Schizosaccharomyces pombe: one gene and its partner. The protein of the gene in region 1 interacts with the protein of each later gene in a pairwise test. Each region holds a gene or a part of one and is shown on either strand. Other genes may lie near its edges.

Region 1 (5,797 bases):
GATAGCGATATATGATATTGAGCGTTGTCGAAAAACGAATAGTTACCTGAGTTTTAAACAAATATAAACAGACTTATTCTTTTAAGAAGAGATAAATTGACTACTGTTATTTTCTGAATGCTGCCTAAAACATATATTGGAATAACTTACTAAATACTCTTCAAATTAAGGAAAAGCATAAGCTACAATTTCTACCCCTACAAGTAACGATTTTCCTTTTTTTTTACTTCCTCAAAACGGTCTTCTCGAACAGTATGTTCTCAAAAGTTTTCCGACTTTTTATCTCATAAAAAAGAAATTCAATGTTTCTCATGCATGACCTTTAAATTTCTCTTTGAAAAATCATGTGAAGCTTACTTAAAGAGATGTTTCAAATTTCTCTTTATGAAACGAGTATTTATCGGATTTATTGGATATCCACTTATGAAACACTACAGCAGAGCAAAACTTTCAAATAATTGTTTTATTATTTTAAAAGCTATTCCAGAAAAATTTGTTTAATTTAAGGCGTAAATTTCGCGCTAATTTTCCTAGAAATGACTGAAAGGTCGATTTTGTTTACGTCTTTTTGCATCATCCTTTCAAAGCTAAGAAGTTATCGCAAACTATTTCTCCATTATATTGGATTTATTTTATTTTGGAACATACAAACATGAAATTGAATGTGAAGAAATATGTATGTAGCTTCGTCTTTTAAGGGAATTTAATAAAAAGGATAATCAACTTAATTTTTTGCGACAAAACTAATTATGAAGCACATTCTTTTGAATCAATTTATCCAAAAAAGTAATAAATTCAACAGTGACAAGATGTAAGCATTATACGGAATACAACGACTCGAAATACATGGAATTGTATAACTTAATCACTCATTTAAACTTTTACAGAAATCTTCGGCTGAAATATACGGGGTAAAATAGGGCTTTTAATTGTAAAGCTTAGAGCCTGAATAAGTATGCTTTCCTTTATTTTAACATTCCTCAATTTGTTTTCAAGTACTTCACATACCTAGGAAGAATGCTAAATAAGGTACAGTGGGAAAACAACGTTGGTTGATTGTTAGTTTGACTTGCTAAGCTCGTAACTTTGAGGATATGGGCTACAATTTACGTAGAAAGGTAATTTATTAAGCCTAAGGATGGTTGCTTGCTCATTAAAATTGTCCCAATCCTACATATACGCTTTAAACTATATGAACCTCATCTTTTGTCGAAAAAGAAAGTACAAATCCTTCCTCATAAGAAATGTTCGGCAATCTCTTCTTTTTCAACTTTCAGCCTAAAATCGATATGACTACAGAATTTGAAATAGGGAATTGCATTTCTTACTAGTACTATTTAAATGTGTAAAGCTTTCTGGATTACCATCAGACCCTCATTTAAAAATGATATTTATATTATATGCTGATTCTTTAGGAAACAGCAAATGGACGACTTTCTGAATGTGATTTTTTTAACCATCATGTAAATCTAAAGTAGACTGTTGCTAATAACAGTTTCGTACGAAGAACAGAACTTTTTTAAAAATCTAATCTAAATTTGTCATAAATCTTTCGGAAAACCTTTTGAAGCATAAAAATCCCAGTTGAGTTAATGTAGTAACAATCATGTGTATGTACTCATACCTAACCATCACATTCCAGTAATCCACCTAACATCTTAACAACTCTCCAGCACACATACACACACATCATTATTTCAAGTCATTTCACACTTAAATTCACTTACAAACATCTAGAATAATTTTTGATTGAATCGTATTTTATTCATCTGAAAACCGACTGAGATTTAGTATTGTTTCCTTCGTATTGCATTTTTTACATTCGTCTTCTTTGGAAGTGGCGTACTAAGCCTTTTATTTGATTCCATCATACTTGTGAAGTATCCTTAAGCATCCCATGTCTGATTCTGTGAATTTGGACGAACCTTCAACTAATAGTACTCACTTTCTACAATGTTTAGTTACAGAACCTAGAAAGGAGCTACAGGGATCTCGAGACACTCATGTATCTTATCTAATCATCACTAAGGTAAGTCTTATTTTTGAAAAGTAACTGATGAATTATTTTTTGGAAATGTGCTTACTCTATGTTACTAGACCAATCTTTCGATTTTCACACGTGCGGAATGCAAGGTTCGTCGTCGTTTTTCTGATTTTGTGAAGCTTCAAGAAATATTATCACGAATGAATGAGGATTGTGTAGTCCCTCCTCTTCCCGCTAAACATAAACTTGGTATGCGTGCAATTAAATAGAAACTCGTTAGTGCAGTGATTCCGATGTCTTTGACTTTTCAATGATTCGTCACTAACACTTTTTGTAGAATACATCAAAGGAGGTCGGTTTTCAGATAATTTCATAAATCGAAGAGCCAAGCTGTTGAATCGTTATATTACACGTTGTGCTCTTCATCCTGTGCTGCACCAATCGCCTCATTTCATTGCATTTTTAGAAAATCCAAATTGGAATAATTATGTTCGATTCTTTATTCAGCCGAAATTGAATAACACATCGAAGTTGGACGAAATCTCGGATTCCTTGCTAAATGCGTTTTCCAAGCTGAAGGAAGAACCCACTGAGTTTGATATCCAACGCGACCATGTGCAACAGTTTATGTTTGGAATATCTAATTTGGAAGGATCCATTCAAAAGCTTTTACGTTTAGAGAAGGCTCTAGAATCTGATTATGAGGATGTTTCGATTCAGTTTGATCGATTGGCATCCTTGGATCAAGCTTTAGATGTGCCTATTGAATCCATTCAGAATGCATTGCAACAAACTGGCACAGAGTATGCTAATCTTACAGAAAAATTAACTTTATTGTTGGATACAATTAAAGACGTTGAATCTTACGCTCATTCCTTGAAAGAACTCTTGAAGCGCCGCGATCAAAAACAGCAGGATGTCGAGGCACTTCAAGAGTATTCTGCAAAGCTTTCTTTAGAGCGCGACAAAATATCTTCTGGCGGCTCTAATGGTTTCAGTTTATCCAAAACTCTGGACGACTTGCGTGGTATCGATCACAACGATACTAGATTAAAGCGCTTAGAACATGTACAATCGGAATTGCAGGCAGTTGAGCAAGCTATTCAAGAAGCATCTGCCGTTCATGACGCTTTCAACCAAAGGGTTCGAGAAGAATCTAAGCTTTTTGATTCCGTTCGTCAAAGCGAGATGCTTAGTGCTATTTCCGATTACGCTAATGTTCATGTAGAGTTTTTTACAAATATTCGCGACCTTTGGATACGTGTTAAGCAATAGGTTACTTTACTCAAGCCCCACAGCATATGTTGTTTTGATCATGTCTCGATTAATGAATCATTGACCTGCTTTTCTTTTTTAATTTCTAAATATTTATTAATGATAATGATTGTGCATGACTTCGCTGATTACTTTTTTTATCATCAACAATTTCATAATCGGGAAACTTTTTTTGTCTGTATTTGTTTGTAAGTTTATTATGATTATTATTAGAAAAGAAATAAAATAAAAAATGAATTGAATAAATTAGAGAAAAAACAAACAGTGGGGTATAAGAATCGTAAAAATGAAAAAACCGGTATTGCAAATAGTAAAAAATTAGAAACATATTAATGGTAATTCTTGCACGATAATAGCACTCAAACATCTTAATACCATCTACTATTGAATGAGGATCCGTACTTTTTCTTAACCTTCTTAAGTTCCTCCCTTATTTTCTTGCTATCAAAAAAAGCATTTGATTTTTTAGGAGACAAACTGCGGCCTTTTTGCATTAATGACTTTTCAATCAACTCCTTTTGCTTATTTTGACATTCTTCTGCTTCTATTTCATACAACAATTGAGATTGTCGTTCTCTCAAGGGTTCGGGAATAGGTTCTGAAACCAAATCCACTTCTTCATCGAGAACTTCAAATCCAACAGCAGCTAATAAAATTGGCATTGATTCTCTATAAGCCAAATGTCCCGAGACAAGATTAGTAACATCGATGTTTTCTATCCCCGGAATACAATCTATTTGACGCAAACCCGCAACTCGCCCAATGCCACCAGAAGTGGCTCGAAAAAGATAGCCAAGGATCCAATCATTCTTTTTGTAACCATTGACAAACCTTCCAGAAACGACAGATGCAGCTTTAAGCCAAGAAGTACGTTTAAAAATAACAGGGGTGCCGAACAAATATACATTTTCAATGATGCTAAACTCTTTTTTTTTCTCTAATTCTCGCAAACAATAGTAAATAACACGAGCCCCCAAAGAATAACCAACTAAGGTGACTGGGCGGACGCCAAGGGACCGATAACATAGCATATCGGCTAAAAGCTGACCGGTAGCCTTAGCACGGTCTAAAGAATTATTCCACGGATTGTCAATTAGATATCCTAGCTTCGTTAATATCAAGGGCCACTGTAAGGCACCCATTAGAGAAACTAAGACGGTGGATCCCAATACCTGTTGAAGAGACTGTGTAACCACTTCTGTTGCCAAAATGTTCATAGTCTGACCAGCAGAAGCAAGCATTTCGGGCTCCCAAAAAACAGAATAAATATCACCCACGATAGGATCAAGTGTAGCAAAAGAAAGACGGACATCATCTTCTTTACTTAACATCCAACCGGAAACGGTGACGATGACATTGGCTCGTCTCTGTGCATGTAGCGGTCTAAATTCAAAAGTTTTAACATCGGCTTTTCGATGAGCCATGCCAGTTGTACCAATATGAGCTCCTGAAATTGCACCGCCAGCAGTAATTAAAGCAGCACTACCACCCCCGGCTAAAAAACCAGACGTAGCAACTCCAGATAAGCCAACAGTGGTGAAAGCAGCTCCAATGCCTGCACTAATAATAGGAGCCAGTAATCCAGAAGAGAGACCGATCACTAGGCCGCCTCCGATACCTGCTAGGCCCATTAGTATATACTTTTTACGCCTTGATACTTTACGCCGCAATTTCATGACCGCTTCAGTGTTTGCACTTGAGCCGGCTTCTAATTCGCCGGTATCGTCAATCTGAATTGTTTCAACAATATGTTTTTCAAACTTTGCAACATCAAACTCATTAATGTCAAGAACCTCGCCAACAGCCATAAGTAGAGAACGTGACCGACAATCGTAAAGCGATTTAGAAATGAGGACCAGAAAAAGATCACACAACACAGTCCAACGAACATCAATTTGTACCGGTTTCTCTTTCCCTAGGCTACTTAGACTATCGCTGGACTCAACTTCGTCAACAAGCACTGCATCAAGGCTACTGACTGTTTGAGCTCTATGGGCAGAAACTAAAATCTTGGACAAGTCATCTATTTGGACTGAATGTTTGTGAAGATTTTCTATCATCTTCTGTTCCTCTACTGTGACGCCGAGATGTTCATATATGCATGAAGTGGTTTTGTCAGCCCACATAATGGTGTCTTCTAATGCGGCCTTACATTCACCTCGATACCATGGCAAAGTTGTAAAACATGCAATTTTATCAACCATTTTTAAAATTAAAAGCCGACATACGCCAGCGTATGCCATTTTCTCGGTTTCAGAGAGTATGTTGCCAGTGATTTCCAATTGACTATCCATGCTAATTTCTTCGTTGCCATGATCAGCAATGTCTAATAATTTAATGGCTTCACTGTCTAACTGATGCTTTTGATCGTCGTCTTCATCACGAAAAACTCGGGTGTAGCGAGGTTCAAGCTCACTCTCTTCAACTTTTTCAGTTTCTTTCTTTTCTTCTATTATTTCATTATCATCATCGATATCATTGATTAAATGGGTTGGTTCCAACGATATAACTTCCATTGGTTGCCAATTGCCATCATCA
Region 2 (6,630 bases), 850 kb from region 1:
GTTGATGATATTGAAAATATTAATAAACTGGAGGCTGTTGCTTTTGCCGGTCCTACCGCTGGTGAATCCGACTTTTCTTTGAGTAGAGAAGATAAAGAAATTGACGATTTTCTCCATTATCCTTTGCCCGCTAAAGATGCTAAAAAGTTAAGTTATTTCGTAGGCGGAGAAGGATTAATGCAACTCTTGTTTCTTCTCTTTTTAGCTGCTGGGACAGGTATGCTGTTTATTGGATTACCCATTCTTACATACACGGGCCATAACTCACTTGCTAGTACTCGTGTTACTGGTATTACAAATCATCAATTTCGGATTTTACGTTTATTACGTTATGGAAGCTTGATAGATCCTGATACCCCCGAAAGTGCTTATACGTTTGATTCTCAGGATTTAGGTACTCTGGATCTTGTTTTTTCTGATGAATTTAATTACCCTGGTCGTGCATTTTATGACGGCGATGACCAATTTTGGTTAGCAACTGACCTTCATTACGCTGCAACTACCGATTATGAATACTACGACGCTGATACGCCCACTACGGCAAACGGAACACTTCGTCTTCGTATGGATGCGTTTTACAATCATGATCTTAATTTCCGTAGCGGCATGGTTACCACCTGGAATAAATTATGCTTTAAGGGTGGTAGAATCGAGGTATCTGCATCCTTAGGAGGCTCCCCTTATATTCCTGGTTTTTGGCCAGGTATTTGGACTATAGGTAATTTGGTTCGTCCAGGATACCTTGCAACATCTGATGGCGTCTGGCCTTATTCTTATAATTCATGTGATGCCGGAATTACTCCTAATCAGTCGGATCCTAGTGGCATTTCATATTTGGGTGGACAACGCTTAAACCAATGTGTTTGTAAGGGTGAAGATCATCCCAATGTTGGTACAGGTCGTGGAGGACCTGAAATTGATGCCTTGGAAGGTACATTCGGCAGTGGTATTCCTTACAATGGATCTATTTACTTGGAAACCATGCCTGTCGTTTCTCAATCAGCACAATATGCTCCTTTCGACCTCTATATGTATCCCAATTACGATTTCGTTACCATCTACAATCAAAGTGTTTCAGCAATGAACGGTTGGGCCGGTGGTGTTTATCAGCAGGCTTTGTCTTGTGCTAGTCAATTAAATAATTCTTGGCTTAGCGGTAATGCTTATCAAAAGTATGGTTTTGATTATAAACCTGGAAGTGGTCCGGATGCGCTTATTTCTTGGTTTGTTGGTGATGAGTATACATGGACAATGCGTCAACCAGCTGTGGGCCAAAACGGAAACATAGCTTCTCGACCTGTTAGTGAAGAACCCATGATCGTCGTCCTTAACTTTGGTATTTCTCCTACTTGGATTTATTTTTATTGGTACGAATTAACGTTTCCTCAAACAATGTATGTGGATTATGTCAGAATTTATCAAGACTCTTCTGATTCCAGTAGCGTGCTTGGTTGTGATCCTGAAGGTTTCCCTACTACTGAATATATTGCGAACCATCCTAAAGCCTACCTAAATTATAATGCAACCAGTTGGTCAGAAGCAGGATATGTTCGCCCCAAAAACTCACTCATGGACGGATGTTGAAAAACTTCATTTTAATGTAAGGATTGCGAAATCCATATTAAGCGGCATTTTGTCTTCATTCTTTATTTCTTTTCATTTACTTTCATAGAGTTTCACATAAACCATTAGTTAGTCCCTTCTTTCTTTTCTCTCAGTTCTTTCATTTGTTGCATAATTTAACATACGACACAAAGGATTTACACAACGTTTGAGCTGACCTTACTTTCAAAATTTGATAACAACTGGTATATACTAGTACGTTAAAATTGTTGCCCTTAGAATGCTATAGCTCTCTAGTCAATCTATCAATCAGCCGAATGTTAAGAGATCAAGCTGAATAGCCCGAACTTGGGCCGCAAAAGTTGAGTAAACTAGATATGTCAAAGACATTAAGATAAGATAAAAAAAAAATTCATTTAAATAAAAGCCTAATAAATTTTTATCCGATAAGCATATTAGTTGAGATTATTAAGAAGGACTCATAGAAGAAGCTGGGATAACAGAAGTTTCAGCGGAGCTTTGAACTGGTAGACCATTTGCGGCAGTATCCTTCGATTGTAGTTGTTGCTCTATTTTTTTGCGGGCATTTTGACACTCTCGTTTCATATACAATTTTTCCCTATAAGTTGCCTGTGCAAAGGCATCTAATTCTTGGGATTTAAGACGAATGTGCTGATCAAGATAATCAAAATGAGATAACTTGGATTCAATTAGCTTAATTTGCACGTTAACAGAATCCTTTATAATAGAAGCCATTTTCTTTTCTTCATTAGTTAGATATAACTCTGATAGACTATCAGAGTCCTCCAATGATTTACCATTCATCTCGACATCATAACTTTCTGACTCTGGTTTGGGATAAACCGATTCACCTTTAACTTTATCCGACTCCTCCTCTTTTGCGCTGCTTTTCTGTGTGAAAGAAGAAGGTGGTACCATTTTGGCTAAGAAAGAGACTACGGATAAAATAGGGTTCTTCCCCTGCAAAGAATCAACCACAGGATTGGTATGCACTTTGTCCATTTTAAATAAAGCTTTGTCGGAAGAAGGAAGATTAAGGAATTTCAAAATACACTCTTCAACACTTTTTGTGTTCACATGAGAAGCAACCTTTGCCCAGTCGTCACTATACATTTCCACTCCCTCTGACAAAAGAACAAGTTCTTGTGCAGTCCATGTATCATCATCTTCAATTTTATTTTGTATTGCGACCTCCTTATAATCAGCAATTGTGGTCGGTGAAGGAAACCGATTTTGTTGGTAGCAACTTATACAAACGTTATATTTTTGGGCCGTTTGAGATTGGTAGTAACTTTCATTAAATTTATTACCGCAACAGTAACAATGCTGTGGAGAATCTGACTGATCAATGTTGTTTTCATGAAGGTTCGAAAGGCTTGGTTTTTGATTCGGAGTTGAACCCTTACCTTTTAAGACATCGTCGAGAGAGGGATCATAAATATTTGTTCGGACAATCGAAGGATCTTCAATGGTAACAGCTTTGGAACGAGGAATTGAAGAAGAGGGAGGTGGAAGAAGTGGTACCAATCCACGAGGAGTATCAGCAAGGATTTGGAAATGACTTGTGGAAGGGGGACCTATTTTCGAAGGCCGAGTATCGGGGTTAACGTTATAGTTGATTAATCCCCATTGCTCTAGAAATCTATGGACACGCAAGACAGCACATACATCACCAGCCAAATTCCTTCGGCAAGCCGTGAAAGTCAAATAAACTTTGGAGTTCAATCGAAAAGTACTAATCATAAAATCTCGGTATTCCTTATATACCTCTGGTGTTTTCGACGTATTTTTTCCATCAAAGAACTCAGGGTTTTGTTTTTTCTCAATTTCGTGAACTTTAGAGAAATCAAACCATTGCGCCCACTCAGGGACTTCTACTTGTGGTAACTGGCTCAACAAAAATTCTTTGGCCTCGTCTCTGACTTCTGGTTCAGTGTCCTCCTTTTTAGAAACATCCAATTCCATTGGCTGAGCAGAATCTGGTACCCCGTTTTCGTGTAAGTCATGTTTATTTTCAGTAACGTTGGACATTGTGGTGTTAGAGTCTAGTATAATATTTACAAAATCCTCAACGCCAAGGGCTTTAAAAGCTTCACGTCAATAAAATGCACTTAATCAACGAAAAATAATATGTATTACCCTATATGATTGAGGGATACCTTGAAAATTCAAGTTTTTTTAAAATGCCCTGCAATTAGTAGGTAGTGGGAGTTGACTTAGAATGACGATGTCTGGTTAACGAAATATACAGCAAACGCACTATACACTAAAGAATTGAGAAAATATTCAATATGGAAAGTAAAATTTATTGATATGAAGTTAAATATCATATGATATGATGACAATTTATACCATGAATATTAGTGAACTTGTAATTATAATCACTCCTATGTGATCAGCCAACTATAGTAAGAATGCACTCCTTGTGTCATGAGGAAATGCTATACTAGCTTTAAAAGGAGAAAAGCAAGCTAAGAATCTAGTAATTTCGCTCAAATGTGTTATAAATTGAGATTAAAAGAATAAGGGAATTATCAAACCACCTACCAGGAGTGGTACATAAATTAAAACGCTTCATATAAATGGGTTAAGCAAGAATTGTGTGTCAATAAGAGTAAATATTCATTGACTGACAAACTTGCCGTAATTAAAATGCGTAACAATAAGAAACACAAAAGAATTTAGTGTCCTCATTTAGTATATACTGATTATATATGTATACGTTTGGGCATAAAATGAGAACGCCAAGGTTTCTTGGAAAACACATTTAGAATCTCAAAGAACCTTTCTCCGAAAACATAGACGAAATAAATTGTATAAGGAGAATTGATAACGTAAAGATATGCACTATTTTTTTTTAAAGTAAGTAATAGTGGCTGAGTGACTGGATTCATCAACGGTACAACAATTAATTTTTATTCAGAGACTTCTTCGACGGTAGGATTTCTGTGCCTTAAATTCTTTAAAGAAGTGGTGGACGTAGAAGACTTTTCAGGAGTTGCAGAAGCAGCTGGTGAAGTGGCTTTTTTTGACAATTTCTTGGATTTCCTTGTCTTCTTTACCTCAGATTTGGAATTGTGCCAACTCCATAAAGGTTTAAAGCTATCACAGAAGCCAACGTCGGCAAGAAGATTGGGGAATAGCCAAATGCCAGGGCGCACGATGACAGCAGTAATGCAAAATAAGAAAAAACGTAAAATAACCAAAACAAAGAATAGACCGATTACTCCAAGGCCTCCCATACTTAAATACCAAGCACCCTTGCGCATAAACATTGGCCACAAGGGGAACAAAACGAGTGCCAATACGACAAGAGCGAACAGTACTGCCAAAGCCATAACGCGTTTTGGAAGAGGCTCGTAGAGCCAAACATAATGCATATCGTCTTGAAAATCTTGATTACGATTTATCTGTAATTCTACAAGCTTCTGCTTTCTTTGTTTAGGGGGGAGTTTATCAACGCGAACCAGCATCGAATTCATAATGAGCAATTTGAGAACTTCGATTGCTTCCTCACGGCTTGAAATTTCTGGAAACCCTTTGTATTTCTTAGGCGTATACGCTTCGGATGTTAAAAAGCGAAGAACACGCTTCACACGAAAGTAGTATACACGTTTTCCATTGAGGATCGCTGGCTTTGTTTTCAGCTCAGGGCGAGACTTGAGGAAGTTTGTAAAGCGCATCGAAAACTTGCACTTGTCTTCATCCTTCAAAACTGGTACATTAGAAGAATCCATAGGCAAAATCCTTGTTTGGAAAAATCTAAAATAATGTGGTTCTGGAGTAGATGAAGTCTGTACACGTCTTTAAGGTAACGATATTTAGGTCACGAGGTAAAGCCAAAATCAAAATTCAGTATTATAGATTTGGGAAAATCTATATTATAAATTTTACATTTAGTTTAATCATTGTTATTATCATGCTGTCGAATATTGATTCATTCTTTAAGTAAATTTGTAAAGTTGGATAGTTCAAAAAGTTAATTCAGTCTTAAATTTTTGTGCCTGTGCCCCATATTCATAACTTAATTATACTATAACACTTGAAAAAAATATTTGATTATTAGGGAGAGTAAAGCACTGATTAAGGAATACTAATCTTCAGAAGTTAACTCTAAAAAAGATGCTCTTCCTATTCAACTTAATTGATAACATTCATTGCTGTTCGACGAGGAAAGCAAAGTCTTCAAATTCATTTCATCAATAAATATTTATCTATACAATTATTCACTCATCCATCATATGACTAACCTTCGCAACACATTAACTAGGAAATTTTGATTACATAAAAGTGAAACAGCATCATTAAACAAGTCAAATTTCCTTTATTGAAAAAATCCTCAAATATCAAAAAGATCCAAGTCATGAATCTTTTCAGTGATTGAATGAATTTCCTCATGCAAAGGTGCAAGACTGGAGAGTAAAGTCTCTACCTCAGAAAACTTTCGTTTCGCTTTAGCATCTTCAATCATATTTTCAACGAGGAAAACTTGCTCCTCTAAAACTATTCTTGTTTGCATCAACTCTTCTTGCTTCTTTTCAACTTGCTCTTTCTTCTTTTCTAGCTCACGTTCAGACTCAGAAGTCCAAGCTTGGCCAACCTGCAAATGGTAAGGAATGGCCTGCAAACGCAATATGGTTTCTTGTAAATATCTTTTTGCTTCATTAACAACATTCTGCTTAAATTGTTCTTCAGCATCATTGGATGAGGGATGATTGGCGATTTTTTTCATAGTTCCATCATATTTCACACATAGCTCAAGAAATTTTTTTCGTCTATCTTTTACTATTTTCAGGGTCGCTTCAGTGATTATTTCACCACTTAGTAATTCAGACAAAGAATCCTCGTAAAGTCGATAGTAATTTACCATAGCCTGTCTAAAAACTTGCAAGTGTTCAATATGTCGGATGTAGCCAAGTGATTTCGATCTTTCCGTTTGATAAAGAACGTTACGGAAATAATTTTGATTGCAACTCATACAGATGAGGAGAGGTTGCGGGTGTTGAGGAAGACTAATCTCTAATACACAGAATCTGCAGATCACGC

The links.
Region 2: the proteins of atg24 (region 1) and ssr1 interact in a two-hybrid assay, tested with the Schizosaccharomyces pombe proteins (one large-scale study listed by BioGRID).

The regions. Positions count from the first base shown.
Region 1 is NC_003424.3:2,752,871-2,758,667, forward strand, and holds atg24 (autophagy associated protein Atg24), read left to right. Parts: upstream 1-1,652; 5' UTR 1,653-1,897; coding exon 1,898-2,029; exon of another isoform or gene 2,030-2,097; coding exon 2,098-2,233; exon of another isoform or gene 2,234-2,321; coding exon 2,322-3,259; 3' UTR 3,260-3,510; downstream 3,511-5,797. Other genes in the region: SPOM_SPAC6F6.13C (uncharacterized protein), read right to left, coding at 3,628-5,797. UniProt on the Schizosaccharomyces pombe protein: Sorting nexin, involved in the separation or division of vacuoles throughout the entire life cycle of the cells.
Region 2 is NC_003424.3:3,602,783-3,609,412, reverse strand, and holds ssr1 (SWI/SNF and RSC complex subunit Ssr1), read right to left. Parts: upstream 3,632-6,630; 5' UTR 3,616-3,631; coding exon 2,032-3,615; 3' UTR 1,959-2,031; downstream 1-1,958. Other genes in the region: ghs2 (glucosidase), read left to right, coding at 1-1,584; translocation subcomplex subunit Sec62, read right to left, coding at 4,500-5,321; FYVE tethering component Pep7, read right to left, coding at 5,924-6,630.